Canis lupus familiaris: one gene and its partners. The protein of the gene in region 1 interacts with the protein of each later gene in a pairwise test. Links are inferred from orthologs where the notes say so. Each region holds a gene or a part of one and is shown on either strand. Other genes may lie near its edges. The genes, in order: REEP6, LITAF, SPG21, SNX15, PTPN9 and NDRG4.

Region 1 (4,012 bases):
CTGGCTCCGACATGGAGTGCCCCAGGACAGGCCAACACCTCTGGCTTGCTTCCCCCCCAACCAGGTGCCCAGGTGGGGGCTTCGGTCGCCCCCCAGAGGCCCCAGAATCTGAAGCTGGTCGAGGCAGGGGTGGGCTGGGGCTTCTGGACATCTTGAGTACCCCTCCCGTCTGCCGGGGTCTGGGGTCGTCCAGGCCCCGCCCCTCCTGTCCATCGGGTCCCACCCACCTGCCCCAGGTAGACGAAGCCGAATTTGCGCGCCAGGCGCTCGGCCTCCCGGTAACCCTGGGACACCCTCACGGCCCAGCTGCTGACATAGATGGGGGCCCGGGCCGAGGACCACCCCACAGGCAGGGGGCCAACGAGGGCCAGGCCCAGGGCCAGGGCTAGGCGCAGCCAGAGCGCAGTCCGGGCGGGCCGCATGGCGGCGGCGGCGGGGGCGGGGCCGGGCCGGGGCCTCCGAAAGCCCCTCCCCCTGGGCAAACCGCCGAGTCGGCCCAGGCGCCCGCCCCGCCCCCGGGGCCATAGCAACCCCAGGAAGGCTTCAACTCCCAGGGGGCCTTGCGGCTCCCCCTTGAGGGGCGCGAAGATCCGGCCCGAGTCGGGGGGCGCCCACGGCCGCCCGGGGCCTCCGCAGACCCGAGCCGTCTGCAGCCTCAGTGTCCCCGACCTGGACGGTGACCCGCTCTCCCGACCCAGAGGAGCCGGGTCGCCGCGGCTCTCCTCGGCCCCGCCCCCGAGAGTCAGCCCTGCCTCCTGCCCGGCGCCGGCGGACTAGCGCGTCCCAGTAAGTCCCGCCTCCCGGACTCGGGGCGCCCCAACCCCCTGCCCCGAGAGGCTGCCTCCTCCTTTATGATCAGCCCCGCCCCTCCCCTGCCCTCGCCAATCAGCTCCGGCCTCTCTCGGGTCCTCCCGCCAGAGGCTCCGCCCCCACGGCGGCTCAGCCAATAATCCCCGGCCGTGGCCCCGCCCCTTGCTCCGCCCACGTCCCGGCCCGTCCGCCAATCGGCGCGCTCAGCCGCGGCGCCCCGCCCACTGCCCCCGGAGTCGCGGCTGCGGCGGCCGCGGCCCGCCAGAGGGCAATGCGGCGGGGGAGGCGGGGCAGGCCCCACCTCCTTTGTCCGCCCTGCCCTCCCATTGGCCGGGGCGGGGGGCAGGGGGCGGAGACCAGCCTGGGGGCGGAGCGGGGCTGCTCGCGCCGCGGGACGGAGGCACGCGCGCGGCGGGGCCGGTGCGCGGGGCCGCGGTCGAGCTCGGGCTGCCAGCCCCGGGCCCGCCGGTGCCATGGACGGCCTGCGCCAGCGCTTCGAGCACCTTCTGGAACAGAGGAACTTGGTCACCGAAGCGCTGGGGGCTCTCGAAGCCAAGACAGGTGTCGACAAGCGGTACTTGGCCGCGGGTGAGCCGTCCGGGGCGCTCGGGACTGCTGCCCCATTTCGCCGACCGGCACACTGAGGCCCTGGGGCGCCGGGGCCCCGGTCCCGACCCCTCGCGGCCGGCGCCTTCTGCGGGGCTCGGGCTCGGACGGCGGGGCGCACCTCACCGTCCAGCAGGGAGACAGACGGAGATGCTGGGGAGGGGTCGTGCGCCAGGACCTCGCGTCTGCCAGCAGCCTGTCCTCTGCCCTCGTCGTGCGATCTCGGGCGAGTGTCACCCCCTCTCTCGGCCCCTGCATTACCTCCACTCCCACCCTCGGGTCTGGCCGCAGGCCGCCGCTGCCCCTTCCCTGCTGGCCCTGGGTGACCGCCAGGCCGAAGTCCGGTTCTTCCAGTTGCTGTGTCCGCCCTGGGGGAGGAGAGGGTGGCGGGTAGGCGGCCAGTGCCCTGGAGTCTTGCCACCCCGTCCCACAAGGATCCCAGCCTGGAAGCAAGTGGAGCATCCTGCTGGGGCGGGAGGGTCTCCCCCACGTCTCTTCCCTCCCGTTTCCTGCGAGCCCACCCCCCCCCACGGCTTTGGCCCACTGTGCGTGAATACTTGGGTTGGGTTGTCTGAGGCTGTGACGGGGCTGGAGGGGTAGTGGATGCGGGAGTGTAGAGAGGAGCCCCAACAGCCGGGGAGCGGGACTCCTGACTATAACCATTCCAGGACCCCTCCTCTTCCTTTCCTCCTCGGTGACCTTGGGGGGCCCCTGCCAGTGTCCCAGACTGTCTGGGAAGCACTCCTCAAATGCCTCCTTCCCCTCTTTTCCCGTGTACCAGGCCCGTCAGTTCTGCAGCCACCCCCACACACACACCCGGGGTGCATCACAGGGACACTTTGTCCAGACGTGGCAGGGGGGCTTTGGGTGAGGACAGGGTGTGTGTCCTGAACACCTCTGTGTGCAGATCCTGGGAGTCCTCTTTCCTCCCATTTCCCCCAGAGGGGATCCCGTGCCCAGCGGCCCAGGGAAGGCCGGTGCTTTGCTTCCCGGGGCCTGCGGTGTCAGGGCAGGTCAGCTCAGCCAGGAACCTGCCCTGGCTTCTCTGCGCGTTTCCACATCCCTGGTACCTGGAGGCAGGGACTCTAGGTCATAGGGCAGTGGGGGGAGGGGCCTCCTGGGGAAGCTGAGAGTCACAGGGAAGAAACTGAGGCCCTCCTCTAGCGTCAGGAGCTTCGTGGGAGGCTGCCTCTGCCACCTGCCCTGTCTGGAGCATCCACCCCTCCCTCCTCACCTCTCCATCTGCCCCCCCAGCTCCATCTGTTGCTGATCTCAGAGAGCGTGCTCCCCCCATGTCCAAGGTCATCCACCCATTGCTGAGGCTGCAGGAATAAGGATTGAGGGGGGAAGTGCCCTAGGAAAGCTGCTCCTCCCAACCAGAACTTTCCCCCCCATCCAGATGTGGGACCTCTTGGGCCCCAGCTGCCCCAAATGATCAGATTCCCAGCCCGGACAGCAATAGATGAAACCCAGCAGAGACGGTGACCAGACCTCCTAGGGCCCACTGGGGAGGCTCCCCTCCCTCCCCTGACCCCAGGCCCTAGGGATAAAGACCAACGCAGGTGGGGGGAAGGGTGGGGGTGACTCTGCCCTTTGGCACACCAGTGCCCTCTGTCTCTGCAGATAACAGCCTGGGGGAGGAGGCTGGAGGCTGTAAAGTACTCCCAGGAGCCCAGAGGCTCTCTGAGTGACCTTGGGTCTCACTCCCCCAGTTTCCAGTGTGTTCTGGCCATTGAGTGGGCTACAGCGAGGAAGTGCAGGGACCTGCACACCAGAAGCACTTAATAAATGCAGTATTTACCATCATTGCTTTCAGAGTGGCTCGTGCTCCTGGTTCCCTGCCTCCCCCAGGGGTGTTTTCTCTGAGCCCTCATTTACCACTGGGAAAGCATGTGTGTGCCTAGAGGGTGCTCGGGAAACGCGTAGAGCTGAGTGGTATTTAGCTATCGCCACAGCAACCTTGGGAGACAGGGCTATTACCACTCCATTGACAGATGGGGAAACTGAGGCTGCTCCGTGTTGTGCGGCAGGTGGGAAAGCAGCGGGCTCTGTGCTAAGCTGTCTTGTGCTAAGACAAGGGTCCTTACACGGGGCCATGCTGTCCCTCTCGGGACACCGGGCAGTGACTGGGGACGTTGGTGGCTGTCACGACTGGGGGTGCTCCTGGCATCGGGGGCTGGGGGCCAGGGATGCTGCCTGGCACCCCAGGGCCCAGGACGTCCCCACCGAAGATGATCCTGCCCCGATTGTCCGCAGTGGTGAGGATGAAAAACTCCATTGAGATCAAAGTCACAAATGTTGCCTTTCCCTGCTACTGGGAATCCAGCCCGGATGACAGAATGGCCTTACTTTTGGGTTTTTCTCCCGTGACTTTCATTCGGACGCCGGTCTCTGGTGCCCAGCCCCTCCCATGGGACCTGAGCAGGGCGCTTATACTGGCGGATGGTCACTTACTCGTTCAACAAACAGCTACTCTGTACCTCTCAGGGCCTGGGATCCCTGGGTGGCGCAGCGGTTTGGCGCCTGCCTTTGACCCAGGGCGCGATCCTGGAGACCCGGGATCGAATCCCACATCGGGCTCCCGGTGCATGGAGCC
Region 2 (3,940 bases), on another chromosome or scaffold:
TCTTCTGTTGGTGTCTTAACTAAAGCCTGTGAAACTACACACAGTTCTACTGAAGTCATGTGCACCCGAGGGACAACTATATTAGCCAAGGAAGTGTTGCCAAAGCGGCCCAAAATACCAATAGGGGTTAAAATAGTAAGAAGAAATTGCAGGGACCTAGGAAAGCACCACTCTGAGCACAAATAACAATTTTAAGGTTAAGAAAACAAGTTCAGAACAGACCAGGGCAGGCCAAGTGGGCACCGAAGACATCATCAACATGTCTGTACTAGCGACAGGCAGAGTTAAGGAGGTCTGTCTACCTGATGAGATGGACCACCTCTCCCACTGGGCTACTGTCATTGCAGTAAAAGCATAAAGAAATACAAGACAGGTTGTACGTGGTGCCAAGGCTCTAGGACTTCCTCTTATGAGCCTTCTTTCTTTCACCATCACTGTAGCTCTGGGTTAATTCATCTTTGGTGTGGGATGCCTGGGTGGCTCAGTGGTTGAGCGCCTGCCTTCGGCCCAGGGCATTATCCTGGGGGTCCTGGGATCAAGTCCCACATCAGAATCCCTGCGTTGAGGAGCCTGCTTCTCTCTCTGCCTCTCTCTCTCTCTCTCTCTCTGTGCCTCTCATGAATAAATAAATAAAATCTTTTTTAAAAAATTTCATCTTTAAAAAAAAAAATTCGTCTTTGGTGAGAGAATTTTAAGTTCCAGATGGGCACTAGCCCCTTCTTAGAGTGGTATCATACATGCCTCCATTCTGTAGGGGTGGTTAACAGCAAGAGTATGTACTGCTGATCTCTCTGAAAATTAACTTAGGTTGGGTTGGAAATGCCTTCTGGCTCCTCCCTCCAGTGGTTCCCCTTTTATGGTCCAACCCTCATCTTGTCTGTGCCTCCTCTGAAGCTTTGCCGAGACCCTTCTGTGCCTCTGGAATGCTGCTCCCCATATCCACCTGCCCCTTCTGCCACAGAAGCACAGGCCTCAGCTTTGTTACTAAACCCACTGTGACTATCCTGGCTCCTTGCTCACACCTCCCTCCTTCCCACTCCCCTCAAGATCCTTCCAGGCATTAGAAAGCACTGAATTTCTCACCTGCATGTGTCTCCATTTTCGACCCACAGTGTAGACCCCTCAGGGCCAGGAGCCATTTCTCCTGTGTCTTTTAACGGGCAAGGGTAGCACTTTGTTCCCCCACAGCCAGCCCATAAAAGGGACCGAAGGAGCAGAGGGAGGTCCACTCACCAAATTATCTAGTATTTTAGAGATCTAAGAAATTGATCCTCTGTCTCAGATCAATCACCCAAGTCACTTAATCCACAATAACACGACAGGGATACTTTTCCAAACACGAATGAAAGCACCTATTCTTGATGCCTTGAAGTAACAGGAAAGAGGGAAGATGGGCCTCCTCCATACTAGGTATTTCTTAGAGAGGCTGGTGCACATTCAGATCCCAGACAAAGGCCGGCTTAGAGTTAAGCCAAGTGCGGCATAGGGTGTTTCCATGCCAGGTAGAACCAGTCACCTGCTCTCTGGATTCTGATCCAACTATGATAAAACCAAACACGGTGGTGGAGTCCCAGATACCAGCTCATGCCTCCCTTTACAATGGCAGCCCGGTTCGTCCTATTTTAAAAGAAGTACCCTGAAAAGGCTGGGGGTGGGGGTAGGAAGGTAAGCGAGGTAGTCAAGCATATACCAACACAAGCCATGTCTTTCCTTACAAGGGCCCCAGGGGAACTGCAGGGCTAACCCGCGTTCCAGGCAGCCCCTCAACCAGCACCAGGCTACCAGGCTACGAGGCCAACCGGAGGGATTTACCCCTCTTGGGAAGCCGGGTGGGAGAGTCTAACCTGACGGGTTAGGAAGGGGAGGCCGGTGGCTTCCAGAACCCAGGTTTCCCTGAACACCAAATGTCAGTCCAAAAAGTAATGACATCCGCCCCATGAATCAGAAGCACAAAAGTGACCAGAAAACCAGTGAAGGTCCAACTGGCCTGATGCCTGGAATGTACCGCCCTTTCCAGAATATGCCCATTTCCCCATCTCCTGACCTTGACCAGGAGGTGCGGACACAACACCAACCCCACTGCCCAGGTCTGACCTGCAGAGCAGAGGGGAGCAGCTCACCTGCCAGGCCTGGCGGGGGAGGGGTGACGCCCACCTCTGCCACGGGTTCCCCAGCCCCCAGCCCGTGCCGCCAGCACCCAGCCGACCCCGGCAGCGGGCGGGCCTGGGCCACCCCTGCACTCACCCGGGGCCCCCTGACCCGCGGGGAGGCGGGCTGGCCGGCGCCACGGCTGCCTTCGCGCTCGGTCCGCTCCCCCCGGGGGCTCCCGAGGCGCCCGCGCGCCCGCAAAGGCACCGGCTCAGGATGGCGGGGGCGGCCCTTAGAAGCCGAAGGTCTGAGGCCGGCGTCCGGGAACTCTCCGGGACGATCCCAGCGCGGGCGACCGGCCCACTCGGGGGCGCAGGGCGGGAACCCAGCCCGTCCCGCGGTCGGGGAAGCCGGCGCCGGCGGGCCCCGCGCGGAACAGCTCGGCCGGACCCCTGCGCCCTCCAGCCCGCCCCGACCCCCGGGGCCCGCGCGATGCCCCGGGTCTCCCGGCGGCGGCTGCTCCCGAGCCCGGGGCCAGGGCTCACGCCGCCGAGCCCGGCCCCCGCCCGCGCCCCCGCCCGCGCCCGCCCGCGCCCGCGCTGCACTCACCGCCGCCCGCGCCGCCAGTCGAGCCGGGAGGTCTGAGCGCGCGGTGCAGCCGAGCTGCGGGGCCGGCCGAGCAGGGGGCGGGGCGATCCCAGGCTGGGGGCGGGGCCTGCCGCGCAGGGGGCGGGGCTAGTCATGGCCGGGGGCGGGGCCGGCCGAGCAGCGGGCGGGGCGATCCTTGGTTGGGGGCGGGGCCTGCCGCGCAGCGGGGCGGGGCGAGCAGGGGGCGGGCCGGGCCGAGCCGAGCAGAGCCGAGCCGAGCCGGGGCCGGCGGCGGGGCAGCTCCGGCTCCCGCCCCTCCCTGCTCCTCGCCCACCCAGCGCAGCCTGGCGGGGTCCCTGCCCGAGGTTGCCCACCCTCCGGGTTCTGCCCCTCCCCTCCGCCCCTCGGGACACCCCGCAGAGTACACCCCGACCCGGCTCACTCCCGGGACGCCCCCGCTGACCTCGGAGCCCCCCATCGTCCGGTCCTGGGTCGCCCCTTGGGGATTCCGCTCCTACAAGTCGATCCCCTCCCCTCCGCGTCCTGATTCCCGCCTCCAGCTCTCCCCGCTCCCCTAGGCCCCCCATCTCTGGCATTCCTTCCTCCTCCCTACCCTCAGGCAGCGGGGGCCCATCAGCCTCCAGTCCCAGGTCCAAGGTTGCCTGCCCTCCGCAGGGCGGCCTTTCTCTCCCCAGTGCTCAGTCCTGCACATTCAGACGCATCCACACAGCCCGAAATACTCCGTGTGCCTTTGGGCAAGTCACGCACTCCTCTGGGCCTCGGTTTCCTGTGTATAAAATGGGCATAACAGTACCTGTCTCATAAAGTCTAAGAATGCACCGAGAAGGGTTTAGCACAGATTAGGTCTTAAATAAAACCAATCTGCTGTGCTACTACTTCCTAGGCCCCCAGGGTGGTCCACCACCCCTAGGTACTTTCTCCCTGGCTAAAAGCTCTGGAAGTCTGTATCTGATCCTCTGCCCCTAAATGGGTGCTGCCTGCCTATTTGACCAGAGCCTGCCTGCTAGAGTATTAACAGCAGCCCTGATCCAGCAGGGGACTCTGAGAAGTCCTCACCAGGCATTAAGGAGCCTGTGTGGCTTTCAGAGTACAAAGTCCTGGAGATGCAAGGAACCCTAATATGGCCATCTAGAGAAATGCCACTTGGGTGAAGAGCCTATGAGCCACTCGAGAGGGATTCATAGACCTGGATCCTACTGGACCATCCTCCAGTGATAGAATCCAGCTGCCTTTACAGTGAGAC
Region 3 (2,203 bases), on another chromosome or scaffold:
CTCAGGGAGTTGTGAGTTCAAGTCCCACATGGGGTGTAGAGATTACTTAAATATAACTTAACATATACACACGCACGCATGCACACAAACTAGCAAAAGCTGCCACTTCATCTTCTACCCAAATGGATATTAAAATAGCAGTGAGAGGGCAGCCCTAGTGGCTCAGTGGTTTAGTGCCGCCTTTGGTCCAGGGCGTGATCCCGGAGACCCAGGATCAAGTCCCACGTTAGGGTCCCTGCATGGAGCCTACTCCTCCCTCTGCCTATGTCTCTGCCTTTGTCTCTCTCTGTGTCTCTCATGAATAAATAAATAAAATCTTTAAGAAAAAATAAAATAGCAGTGAGAAATTATTGCTTTGGCAGTTCGGTAGGAAGTATCAAGAGCTTCAAAAACCAGTCACATCCTTAGGTCCTGCCATCTATTTGTGGCATGGATCCTAAGGAGAAGACCCTAAATTCAAAAAAACCTGATGCCAGGAGACATTGATCATGATCTCACACAGAACAGCAGAGGATCGGGGGAGGACCTGAGTCACAGCAGCAAAGCAGGAGGGTAAACACCCACTCACAGAGTGGTGTGCCACCCTCTGAGATGTTGATGAAGAGTTTATAGGAACTTGGAGAGACCTGTTATATATTAAATAGGGAACAAAGATCCCACATTGTGGTTTTTCAAAATACTTGACTTTTCTATGTTTTCCAGTTTTTCTCTAATTACATTATAATTTTAGAACTATAAACATTTATATGCTAGAGCACCTGGGTGGCTCCGTCGGTTGGGTGTCTGCCTTTGGCTCCGGTTGTGATCTCGGGATCCTGGGATCAAGCCCCATGTTGGGGCTCCCTGCTCAGGGGGTGTCTGCTTCCCCCTCTCCCTCTCATCTCTGCGCTCTCTCACTCTCTCAAATAAATAAATAAAACCTTTTTAAAACATTTATGTGTTACTGTGACATTTAAAATAATGATTCTGTGTTTCTACAGATCCATTTGCTACAATTCCATGGAACAAAATACGCGGCCATCGACCCGTCGATGGTCAGTGCTGAGGAACTAGAGGTGCAGAAAGGCAGCCTGAGCATCAGTCAGGAGGAGCAGTAGCTCTGTTGTCGCCTGTTGATGATGAGTGATCCAGAGAGTTCTTGTACAATCAGCTGCGTCAGCACCCGCCAGGCAGGCTCTGTTCAGTTGTCAGGCTCGCCAGTCATCACTGTGTTTGGAAGCAGGACTGATTGTCATCTTTGTGACAGGCGGCAGCTCTTCTAAGCCAGTGTGACTGTTCCCTCTGCATTTTTTTTTTTTTTTTTTAGCTTTTGAATTTGAGGAAGTACTTTTGAAGACTCTCACTTTAAGAATTGTGAAAATTTTGCTACCAAAAGTCTTCTCACCACTGTGTTCTTAAGAGAATGTTGATTTTTGAGGTTTGGGATTTTGTGGAGTTTTTTTCTTTTCTTTCCTCCTTTCTTTCTTTTTATGATATTTGCTGTAAATGCTGCACATCCAGATTGTGTATCAGAAGGACATCGGTTATTTTTATGCTTTCTTGGTTATAACCGTTATCAAGTGCCAAGGCTGTCTGTCACCCCACCGTTTGCTCTCCTACAAAATCAGCTACTTCTAATTTCCAGTTAAGCAGATCATTTTCAGTTTTATCTGTTGTCTTTCTAGCCATTACAGTCATTTGGAATAAAAATTCAATTTCAGTGAGTGGTTTTGGTGATTATTGTAGCTGCCCAACTGGACTGCATAGACATAGGACTTTCTGCAAAGCAGACCATGGGGTCATTGGCTAGTTCTTGGTGACATCAGGTAAGTGACTTACTCTCACCAAAGTGCAGTTTGCTCATTGTAAATTAACAGTAGCTCTCATTTATTGAGCTGTTAGTATGTGCCAAGTACTTTTCATACCTTCTTGTCTTCCCCTAGTGGGAATGTCTCTTAAATCTCTTTTAAACTGTAAATTATTGTTTTTGTCTTGCCATGAATTTGTTGAAGAAACAGGCTCATCTGCCCTGTAGAATTCCCCCACGGTCTCGATTTGGCTGATTGCAGCCTCACAGTGTCCTTTAACTTGTTTCTATGTCCCTGGTATTTCCCATGAACTGGTGGTTACATCTAGAGGGTCAGTTTCACATTCAGTCTTTTGGGCAGGAATACTTCATAGGCGAAGCTGTGTGTTTCCCATTATGTCACTGCAGGAGGCCCAG
Region 4 (4,182 bases), on another chromosome or scaffold:
AAAAATAATGTCTATAAGTGGCCTCTACGGGCAGCGGTTTAGCGCCGCCTTCGGCCCAGGGTGTGATCCTGGAGACCCGGGATCAAGTTCCGCATCAGGCTCCCTGCGTGGAGCCTGCTTCTCCCTCTGCCTGTGTCTCTGCCTCTCTCTCTCTGTCTCTCATGAATAAATAAATAAAATCTTTTTTTAAAAATTAAAAAAATAAAAATAAAAGGGATCTCTAGAGGTGTGTGTTGTTCAAGGGGACACCACCCCATCTAAGTCTCCTCCCAAACACCTCCTGGATAATCTACCCTATGTCTGAGCTTCCACCCGTCTCATTTGGGAGTTTCCTTTGTCTCTTTCTGGAAACTGGCAGTACGGTGCCCACCATAAGAGCGGCCGTGAGCACTTGAGCGCTTCACCCACGCTATCACTTTTAAACTTCACAACCTGGCTGTGGTGGTATCCATCAGAGTCCTCAACAGCTTGTCCCAGAAATGATCACAACTGCCTTCCGCAGAAAGGATGGTCTTGGGAAGATACTAAGATACTAACGCTGATTTGGGACAGCATCCTGATGGAGCTCTCAGGATGCCAGACATCAGGTTTGACAAACAGGGTGCCCAGAGGCTGGGCAGCTGAGCCCACAGCCAGCATTGCACATCATGAACAAATCAGTCCCCTTGCTAGGCACTGTGCACTCTGTTTCTCCCTCAAGAAACTCAAGAATTAGGCTTCTGGGGAGAGTCCTCCTCCCCTACCCAGGACTTGGGGCAAGGAAAGGAGCTGGCACCTTTGGATTCCAGGAGTAGGAGGCTGATGGGCTATACCTATTAGAGAACTACCTCCAAACAAAGATATGGTGCTAACAGAGAGGTGGGGGTGAATGCTGGACAGACCAGGAGGGGAAAGAAAGAAACATCCACTGCAGTAGATTCTATTAGAAACATTATAAACGTTCTAGAGAGGAGAAACTTAAGCTCAGGTAGTTAAGGGAAACTCATACAACTGGTAAGAAGTGTGACTTCAGAACCTGTGAGGCCATCCTCTTCTCTGGAGCTCTTTTTTGCTTCCCCTACCCTTGCAGAAAACATGAATTAGCGAATCCTACGGAAGGAAACAGGGAAATGATTTGGCTACATCTGCCACACACTCGGCACAATAAAAGTTGGGTGAGTGGATGAACGAAGGGGACCAGAAAGCATAGGAGAAGTCGTTTGGACACGTTTGATGGGGAAAGCTCGAGCACCTGTCAGCTAAGTGATCCCACCTCCCCGGTTCTTTTTTTTTTTTTTTTTTTTTTCCCCCACCTCCCGGGTTCTTATCTCTTAAACTACCTAGTTCACGCCTTACCCGCCACCGAGAACTTTTTAGACGCTCCCTGGCCGCACGCCAAGGCCAAGGACTGCGCCGTCACTTGCGACCCGCTCCCTAGGCTCGAGGAAGAAGGGCGCAGGCCTGGGAGATGCGGGGCCCGGCGGAGACTGACCTGGAGGGGCGGGGGCGGCGTTGAGGAGGCAGAGGCCGGCGGTCAGCCCCACTCCAGCTCGGTTGCCATGTCCCGCCAGGCGAAGGACGACTTCCTGCGACACTACACAGTCTCGGACCCCCGGACCCACCCCAAGGGCTACACCGAGTATAAAGTGACCGCGCAGGTGAGGTGGGCCCGGGTGGGGACCTTTACCCTTTTAACAAGAGGTGGGGCAGTGTTTTACCTTAAGGCAAGGCGCCGCTGGTCGCTCCCTTTTTAGACGACAGAAATGGATTTCCCCTTTAAGGGGAGCCTGCGGGTAGAGCCCCGGCTTACTTCGGAGCGGTCCAGTGGAGCGGCCCTGGGAGGGCGCTGTCCTTTTAAAAGGGCTTGGACCGTAGTTCTTGGAGTGGGAGGGGCGGGTTCCCACGCCCTACGTGTGGCGTCAGCACTGCGGGCTGTGAATTTCTTCAAATTAGCACGGAAACTCTGGCTCCGTGCAAATGTTAGTTCTCCAGTTTCTTGGATTAGGTTTGTGTGAACCGCTTGGTTTGATATTAACATAAAAGCCCTTTTTTTTCTTTAGTTTAATTTTTAATTTTCTTTCAAAAAAACTCTATGACTTTAAAAATCCTTACAGCTTAGGGATCCCTGGGTGGCGCAGCGGTTTGGCGCCTGCCTTTGGCCCAGGGCGCGATCCTGGAGACCCGGGATCGAATCCCACATCGGGCTCCCGGTGCATGGAGCCTGCTTCTCCCTCTGCCTGTGTCTCTACCTCTCTCTCTCTCTGTGATTATCATAAATAAATAAAAATTAAAAATAAAAATCCTTACAGCTCAAAGAGAATTTTAAAGAGTAAGTCAGAAAAAAAAAAAAGAGTAAGTCGGTCTGCAGCTTCGCAGTCAGAGCTGGAAGACAGAAAGTGAAGTTGATTATGGAGCAGTAACAACGTTATAGGCACATTTTACAGATACATAGGGGGAACCACGAGAAGGATTTAAAAAACAGTGTAAAAGAGTATCTGCAGAATGATATATAGGAGAGCTGGTTGGGGGAGACTTTTCACTGTAAATTGTTTATTACTTTTAGAATTTTAAACTAGAGGCACCTGGGTGGCACAGTGGTTGAGCATCTGCCTTTGGCCCAGGTTGTGATGCCAGTGATGCCAGGGTCCTGGGATAGGCCCCACATCGGATCCCCCATCGGGTTCCCCCGCAGGGAGCCTGCTTCTCCGTCTGCCTATGTCTCTGCCTCTCTGTGTGGCTCTCATGAATAAATAAATAAAATCTTAAAAAAAAAAAAAGAATTTTTAATTAGGCGACTATTAAATGGTACATTAATAACTATTAAGGGGAAGTTGCAAAGTGATTTAGGTGCAGAATCCTAGATGTTTAAAAGGAACTTTCCCTATTTCTTTTATGTCTTTTCCTTGTCAAATAAAAACAAGACACACATGCAGAAAGATAGTCCCTAAGAAGACTAGACTGGAGGGTGGCCAGGGACTGTACTCTTTTCTGATAAATCTTTCTGTTGGTTTTTTTTTTTTTTAATTTATTTATGATAGTCACAGAGAGAGAGAGAGTGAGAGAGAGAGAGGCAGAGACACAGGCAGAGGGAGAAGCAGGCTCCATGCACCGGGAGCCCGATGTGGGACTCAATCCCGGGTCTCCAGATTCGCGCCCTGGGCCAAAGGCAGGCGCCAAACCGCTGCGCCATCCAGGGATCCCTTTCTGTTAGTTTTTAAACATTCATTACTTTGATATGTTTTTATTATAACTTTTAAAGAGAAGTAATTTTCCCTCTTTTACCATCCCCATTCATCTGCCATCTTGGTGAGAATTAATGCCACTATGTCCTTCTTTATCCTTGCATATAAACCTTATATTTAAAAGCAGTTATGTGTACCTAGTTTATTATTTACACACAGTCTCACCGGTCACTTGCTGGTATTCCTCAGTTTTTTGTTGTTTCGCCTTGTAAATTTTCTAAACCAAAACAGGGACGCCTGGGTGGCTCAGAGGTTGAGCGCCTACCCTCACGCCCAGAGCATGATCTTGGAGTCCCAGGATCGAGTCCCACATCTGGCTCACTGCATGGAGTCTGCTTCTCCCTCTGCCTATGCCTCTGCCTCTCTGTGTGTGTGTCTCTCATGAATAAATAAATAAAATATTTTTTAAAATTCCACAACATAATTTATGTAAGTAATGCACGTAGATCCTAAGTGTATAGCTCAATAATTTTTGTATATGGATACATCTGCACTGGCAGTGCTCAGATCAGGATATAGACATTTCCCTCCCCCAGAGAGTTTCTTTGTACGTTTCTCATCTATAGTCCTCCTCTCAGAGAGGTAACCGTTGTCCTGACTTCTGTTCCCCTAGATTACTTTTGTCTGTTCTTGAGCCTCATACAAATGAAATCATATACACAGCAAGTACTCGCTTGTGTCGGGCCTTTTTCCTTCTCTATATAATGTTTTTTGGAGTTTATCCATGTTGTTGCGTGTTGAAGTAGTTTGTTCTTTTTTATTGCCATGTGATGGTAGCCCCTTGTATAAATATACCACCATTTCTTTATTAATTTTCTTGTTACTAGACTTCTAGGTTATGTCTAAAAAAATGTTTTCTGTTTTGTTTTTTTTAATGTTTAGTTGTTACGAGTTGTATGAACATTCATGTGCAATTCTTTTTATGGACATGTGCACCCATATTTTCTTAGTATGTACCTAG
Region 5 (3,500 bases), on another chromosome or scaffold:
CTCTCTCTCTCTCTCTCTGTGACTATCATATAAATAAATAAATAAAGGTGGACTTAGAAAAAAAAATAAATAAAGTCCCTTATCTCTGAGATTTGATGGTTACATAGAGCTGTCTTCGATACACAGTATTTTCACTTTAATTTATCTTGCTATGTTTTATTTTTAGGAAACACGAAGGAAGGAAGGCATTGTGAAGCTGAAACCTCATGAGGAACCTCTCCGTTCTGAGATCCTTAGTGGGAAATTCACCATCTTAGTGAGTCTTTATGTACCCTTCTTGTTCTCATTATTTCCCTTTGTAGCTGTTGTCCTCTTTGGATTTTGTTCCTAGATACCTTATCCTAAATCTAGAGAGTGTCAACATTCAAGAGCAGACATAAAGCAGCTGTGCAGTTTGCACAAAATTATTCTAGTAACAAATGAAATTATTGAGAATCAGTTGTACAGTATATCGAGCAAAGTTTCTTCATTGGTCCATTGTTAGTGAGGGTCTTTAGGTGCGTATGTAGTATTTCAGAGGCCCGTCCTTATTGGAGTCAAGTTCTCTCCACCTAGAGACCACAGCCTTTTGAATAAGTATACGACGCTACTTTTAAGGCAGAGCGTGGAAACCATGGTTGTCTTCCGTGGTTTCCCCCTGCTGTGTGTTTTGCCATCCTACCTGGGAAATTAGCTAGGCAGCAAGTGTAGACCATCCTTTAATCTCTCTGCAATTGACAAGTTAAGAGAATGTAGTTTTTTTCCTGCCAAACTAATACGATCCAGGGGGTGCTAAGAATCAGGAGTGGGATGAAATAAGCTTTCTTCCCTTCCTGGAGCAACTGATGCAGGTCAGAGAAGTATTGCCAGCATCTCTTCTCTCTGTGTGAAATTTTTATCTAGGATATAAGATGCCTCTGTGATTGTTGTGATTCTCTATTTAGTTTATAAATGTTTCTCATTTGATTTGCTCTAGAATGTTCGGGACCCAACAGGAGCTTCTATTGCTCTCTTCACTGCCAGATTGCATCATCCTCACAAGTCAGTCCAACATGTGGTACTTCAGGCTCTGTTTTACTTGCTAGACAGAGCTGTGGATAGGTGAGCATGATGATTACCTTTTAGTTGGTCTGCATCCAGATAGGGAAGTATAGTCCTTGACTAACTTGATGAACTCAGCAGTGCCTTCGCCATGCTTCTAGGATGTGCCCTGGGAAATGCTATGAATAGAAAACATTCCATGTCCTTAAGGGCTTGGCATATTTCCAGGTACTATCAAGATGGTGGGTATTCTATATCTTTACCTGCTTGGCTCTATTTTAGGATCACAGAAGCTGAGAAAACCAATTAACTAATTATCCTCAGTGTATTGAGAATTACTTATTGAGAGAAAGTGAAGGGGAAATGACATGTACTGGCTTTTTGCTCATTTGCCCTGAATTTTGATTTTCAAAACACTCTGGAACCTTGGTATGTTTGTAATATAAAAATAATGCCATTTAATTCAGGATTTTGAGAATCAACATTCAGGAGAGAATGGCCCAAAAGTACAAAGTTAAGCAAAATCATCTTTATAAACAGACCAATGAGCAAAAAGAATCAGCTCAGGTCATTTCTCCTTCCTTCTACAAGATAAATGGTATTATGATCTTTTATGGGCAAAGAAACCAAAGCCTGACTGTTACAGTCATCACATATCAGTCCAGTTAGGCCTAAGATCCTAGTTTCTTTGCTCTTAGCCAGAGCTGTTTGTACCCTATTATGTTGTCCTTTTGCCATACTTCCTTTATTCCCTGGTGATTGCCATTTACAGTTTGTTATCGTACTGGATGTCATTGGCTAGTCCCATGGCTCTTTCCATGGGTTGGAAATGATATATTTAAGGCTGAAACCTAAGATAGTGAAAGATAGCTGTGCACAACTTTAGTCATACTGTGGACTTAGAGGGTGCAGAGAGCCAAACGATGTCCAAAGTGGGCCTCTCTGTCTAATTCACTTGTTAATGTTACTTCCATAGTATTTATACAGCATTATTCTGAAAAAGAGAAGTTACTAAGGGAAGGAGAGGACCAGTGGTCACAGGGGCCGTGTACTGCCCAATCAGAAGTGTGAAATTTCTCATTTCTTCTTGCCAATTATGCCTATGATTGGTCTTCAGACATAATTTCCAGATCATAGGTTCCTTTGAAATGCGTTAGCTCAGGAGAATAAATGAAAGGCTCCTTTACCAGAAAATTCACTGGCCTTCCTTCTTGGGCAGCTTACAGTCAGAGCCCTCCTATAGGCATGGCAGTGGTCAAAGCTTGCTCTTTCCAGTGTGAGTATTGATTGGATCCCACAGGAAGACCACACAGGTAAACATACTTCAAACTGTTTTCATGATGTCCACCCTTTTCTTGAAAACCCTTAGTGACTCCCCATTATTCAGAAGGTGCATATAAGATAAATAAACATGAAGCCTTTTCTCTAAGCAAAATATTCTCACTAGTGAGCAGAAATTTTTGTTTTCCTGTGTTAACTTTCACCAAGATAGAAGAGAAGGAAACCCTCTCCTCACTGGGATAAAAGAGGAAGGTTTCCTTCTCTTTTCTAAATCCCTTTCTTTAATGGTCAACTTTCTATGACTGGGTTCCTCACTCCTCCCACCTGTTATAAATAAAATTCTTTTTAGTCTGACTTTAACAGCAGTTATCTTTTTTTTAAGATCTTATTTATTGGAGAGAGAGAGCACATGAGAGCACGAGTAGGGGGGCAAAGCGGAAGGGAGAAGCAGACTCCCCATAAGCAGGTAGTGGGACTTGATCTCAAGACTTTGAGATCATGACCTGAGCTAAAGGCAGACCGACTCAGCCACCCAGGCACCCCTAACGGCTATTATTATTATTATTATTATTATTATTATTATTATTATTAAAGGATTTTATTTATTTATTCATGAGAGACAGAGAGAGAGAGAGAGGCCGAGACACAGGCAGAGGGAGAAGCAGGCTCCATGCAGGGAGCCCGATGTGGGACTTGATCCCGGGTCTCCAGGATCACGTCCTGGGTCGAAGGCAGGCGCTAAACCACTGGGGTGATCCCGATCCCCCCCTCAATCATTTTTTTTTTTTTAATTTTTATTTATTTATGATAGTCACACAGAGAGAGAGAGAGAGAGAGGCAGAGACATAGGCAGAAGGAGAAGCAGGCTCCATGCACCGGGAGCCCGACGTGGGATTCGATCCCGGGTCTCCAGGATCGCGCCCTGGGCCAAAGGCAGGCGCCAAACCACTGCGCCACCCAGGGATCCCCCCCTCAATCATTTTGAAACAAATGTCAAGGACATTTGTTTTAAACATCTTGATGTTCCCAGGTAGCATCCAACTTAGGAATCAAACTCAATAGGAAAACAATTATTCTTAGTAAGGAATTATCTATCATTGTAAACCTCATTCTGTATGCAGAAAAACAAAGATCCTACCACATTTGTATTTATTTCATGTGCATTTCTTTACAGGATGAGCGATTTTTAGGAATATAGA
Region 6 (2,817 bases), on another chromosome or scaffold:
CCAATGTGTACAGAAACTAGTATGCCTTCCCTATGTCTGAGGGCTTGGGAATGGGGTGTGGGCTGTGCTGTCCAGGCGCAGGCCTCAGCCTCCTGCCGATGCTTGGCCCTCCCCCACCTCACCGCCTGACCCCTGTGGTCCCTGGGTCTTCCTCAGCCACTCCCACCAAGGGGGCCCCTGGCTCCCCATGAGGAGCTGGCCCAGCCCCTGCCCCTGCCCCAGGCCTACCCTGCCAGCAGCCATGGGTGGGAGTCCAGGGGTCTCAGGGCCCTTAAGGGCTGCTCCCTTACCTGCAGAGGCTTGGACTTTGGGAAGGCAGCCTGGTGAGGGGCAGCCTCAGCCAGGGCTGCGTTGCCACCTGTGTCTGCCCCCTGCACGCTGAACCTCCCCAGTACAGTCTCCGGGCCTGGCAACAGACCCTGCCTTAGTGACTGGGGTGGGGGGCTCCCTGGATATGGGGCTGGGGCTGCCTTACTGTGTTGACCTTATCCCTAGGTGGAGTGCAACTCCAAACTGGACCCAACCACCACTACCTTCCTGAAGGTGAGACCTTCCTCCCCTTCCTCCACTTCCTCCCCAGACAAGGGCCCAGCCTCAGGGAGGGGCCTGCCTGGGGTCCTAGGGCAGGCAGGAGGGAGCAGGACAGTGTGTCTGCTCAGGGTGGCCTGGGCAAGGTGTGGGGGGACCCCTGCCCAGCTCACCCCCCTCTTTTCCCTGCAGATGGCAGATTCCGGGGGGCTCCCCCAGGTCACACAGGTGAGCCCTCTCTCCCTCATCTTAGCCCAGGTGGGAGGAGCCTCCCCTCCCCCCAATCCCAGGCAGCCAATCAAAGCATGTGACTGTCCCTCTGTCCTGCAGCCAGGGAAGCTGACTGAGGCCTTCAAATACTTCCTGCAAGGCATGGGCTACAGTAAGTTAACTTCCCCCTGCCCCTGCCCTGGGGACTGGTGGGCAGGGGGCAGAGTGGGACTGGCACCAGCAGCAGCAGGTGACACCAAGCAGCCTGGGGGCATATGAGATCTGTGTCAGCAGGGCCCAGATGCTGTGCCACTCACCACATGCTCCCCACTATGACTGGAGACTCTCTAGGGCACCTCCACCTGAGTTGTGAGTAGATGATCCCAGGCTGTGTCTGGCTCTCCCATGCCCTTGGGGAGGCTGTGGGACACGTTCTCATGGCAATGTTGAAATGGTAGGCTCTTTTTCCAGGCCTGGGGGACCAGAGCCTGGGGTGGGGGCCTGCCCAGAAAGGCTACCTAAAGGTGAGTCATACACACCACCCATTCCCCTGCCAGACCTACAGCACTTGAGAAGGGCTTTTGTCACAAGTGGTGGATGGTCCCAGGGGCAGCAGAGTGGTCTTGAAGTCTGGGGCCTGACAAAGGCGCGTGGGGCCATCTGGGTGTTTGGAGAGAGCCGAAGGCAGCTGAGCCTGGGGGTAGCATATGTGAAGACCCCAAAATGATAGGGGCTGTGGGGTGGCAATGCCCACTCTCCTCCCCTCTCCAAACCACCTCTTGTGCAGGGATGAGCCACCCAGATTGCTCAAGAGCACCTCCAAAACCCACGCACACATACACACATGCACGCAAGCACACTCACACCTTATCAACTTGATTCCTCCCCTTTCCCGAACATACCTGGCCCTCCCGCTGGAAGCAGAACTCCCCTACCTGAATATCTCTCCACCCAGACCTCAGTCCCTGGAGCTTGTGCCTCCTTGGAAGGCCTGCAGGGGAAGGCTGGGGGCCCAGCCAGGAGAGGCGCTCCCTCTCTGTGAAAAAGTGGGGCAGAGAGAGGCCGAAGCTAGCGGTGGGACACAGTGGGAACTCAGAGGTTGGGCCTGAGCCCAGGGGGCTCTCAGTGAACACCTGTGAGATGAGGAGATGAGCAATGCTTGTTGGGCTGGGACATATGCTCAAGGCCCTGGGAGAAATACCACCAGGCAGCCCAAGAGGTGGGCAGGATTTAGGAGCTGGTGCAGGCCTCCCCCATTTTGTACCTGGGGAGACAGATCCAGAAGGGTGCAGGTGCTGGCACTCAGATATGGGCCCCAGAAAGCCCTGTCAACACAAGGCCCTCAGCGCTGCAGCCCAGGCTGGAGAAGAGGGGGCAAGAGGATTGCCCCCACTGTGGTGTCAGGGTTCCCTCCGGGGCTGCTACTCTGGTGGGTGGCAGGGGTGGGCTTCCTGAGGCTCTGGGCCTGCCCTAGCCCACTCTGTGCCTGCTGTCTTGTCGTCTTCTCTCTCCGACCCATTGCAACACCCCGGCCTTGCCGGATCACACTCTTCACCCATGTTCTGTGTCTCCCCCCGCCCCACCCTGCCCCGCCCCGCCCCTCTGGCTCTGTCTTCTCTCTTAGTTGCATACTTGAAGGACCGAAGGCTGAGTGGAGGAGCAGGTAGCCCTGTGGCCCCTCCCCTGATGCATGGACCCCCGCCCCAGTCCCCCCTGCTCCTGCCTCTGTGTGGTGCTGCAGCCGGGCCTCATCTTGCTGTGGTTGGGAACTCTCTTATGTCCTGCTCGCCTCCAAAGCCCAAGAGCGTCCTGCTTTTTCACTGATCCTGGGCCAAGTGGGCTGCATCCCACATGAGGCTTGGGTGGGGTTTAGAGCAGTCTGGTTTCTGGGTTGCCATGGGCCACGTGGCTTCCACAGCTCAGGCTGTTGGAACCAGAGCCTCTCAGAGGTACTGCCCGGGCCTGGCCACAGGGGCAAGGGTGCCCAGCCATGCCTGAGCCGAATGGGTGGCCAGTTGAGTCCAGGAAGGTGGAGCTTGCCCACCTGAGCTTGCTCTCAGGAGTCTTGTCAAAGTCCAA

What was found.
Region 2: the proteins of REEP6 (region 1) and LITAF interact in binary tests that used the Homo sapiens proteins (3 or more experiments, as listed by UniProt). The two-hybrid records come from large-scale screens. The link is inferred for Canis lupus familiaris from reciprocal best matches to the Homo sapiens genes REEP6 and LITAF.
Region 3: the proteins of REEP6 (region 1) and SPG21 interact in binary tests that used the Homo sapiens proteins (3 or more experiments, as listed by UniProt). The two-hybrid records come from large-scale screens. The link is inferred for Canis lupus familiaris from reciprocal best matches to the Homo sapiens genes REEP6 and SPG21.
Region 4: the proteins of REEP6 (region 1) and SNX15 interact in binary tests that used the Homo sapiens proteins (3 or more experiments, as listed by UniProt). The two-hybrid records come from large-scale screens. The link is inferred for Canis lupus familiaris from reciprocal best matches to the Homo sapiens genes REEP6 and SNX15.
Region 5: the proteins of REEP6 (region 1) and PTPN9 interact in binary tests that used the Homo sapiens proteins (3 or more experiments, as listed by UniProt). The two-hybrid records come from large-scale screens. The link is inferred for Canis lupus familiaris from reciprocal best matches to the Homo sapiens genes REEP6 and PTPN9.
Region 6: the proteins of REEP6 (region 1) and NDRG4 interact in binary tests that used the Homo sapiens proteins (3 or more experiments, as listed by UniProt). The two-hybrid records come from large-scale screens. The link is inferred for Canis lupus familiaris from reciprocal best matches to the Homo sapiens genes REEP6 and NDRG4.

What each region holds. Positions count from the first base shown.
Region 1 is NC_049241.1:57,835,443-57,839,454, reverse strand, and holds the start of REEP6 (receptor expression-enhancing protein 6), read left to right. Parts: upstream 1-1,212; 5' UTR 1,213-1,283; coding exon 1,284-1,398; intron 1,399-4,012. Other genes in the region: PCSK4 (proprotein convertase subtilisin/kexin type 4), read right to left, coding at 228-422. UniProt on the Homo sapiens protein: Required for correct function and survival of retinal photoreceptors. Required for retinal development.
Region 2 is NC_049227.1:31,518,755-31,522,694, reverse strand, and holds the start of LITAF (lipopolysaccharide-induced tumor necrosis factor-alpha factor), read right to left. Parts: upstream 2,801-3,940; 5' UTR 2,698-2,800; intron 1-2,697.
Region 3 is NC_049251.1:29,779,575-29,781,777, reverse strand, and holds the end of SPG21 (maspardin), read left to right. Parts: intron 1-980; coding exon 981-1,097; 3' UTR 1,098-1,703; downstream 1,704-2,203. UniProt on the Homo sapiens protein: May play a role as a negative regulatory factor in CD4-dependent T-cell activation.
Region 4 is NC_049239.1:52,668,194-52,672,375, reverse strand, and holds the start of SNX15 (sorting nexin-15), read left to right. Parts: upstream 1-1,382; 5' UTR 1,383-1,538; coding exon 1,539-1,637; intron 1,638-4,182. UniProt on the Homo sapiens protein: May be involved in several stages of intracellular trafficking. Overexpression of SNX15 disrupts the normal trafficking of proteins from the plasma membrane to recycling endosomes or the TGN.
Region 5 is NC_049251.1:38,781,678-38,785,177, reverse strand, and holds part of PTPN9 (tyrosine-protein phosphatase non-receptor type 9), read left to right. Parts: intron 1-166; coding exon 167-256; intron 257-955; coding exon 956-1,080; intron 1,081-3,500. UniProt on the Homo sapiens protein: Protein-tyrosine phosphatase that could participate in the transfer of hydrophobic ligands or in functions of the Golgi apparatus.
Region 6 is NC_049223.1:57,417,392-57,420,208, reverse strand, and holds the end of NDRG4 (protein NDRG4), read left to right. Parts: intron 1-495; coding exon 496-543; intron 544-720; coding exon 721-756; intron 757-858; coding exon 859-910; intron 911-1,032; coding exon 1,033-1,107; intron 1,108-1,196; coding exon 1,197-1,465; 3' UTR 1,466-2,317; downstream 2,318-2,817. UniProt on the Homo sapiens protein: Contributes to the maintenance of intracerebral BDNF levels within the normal range, which is necessary for the preservation of spatial learning and the resistance to neuronal cell death caused by ischemic stress.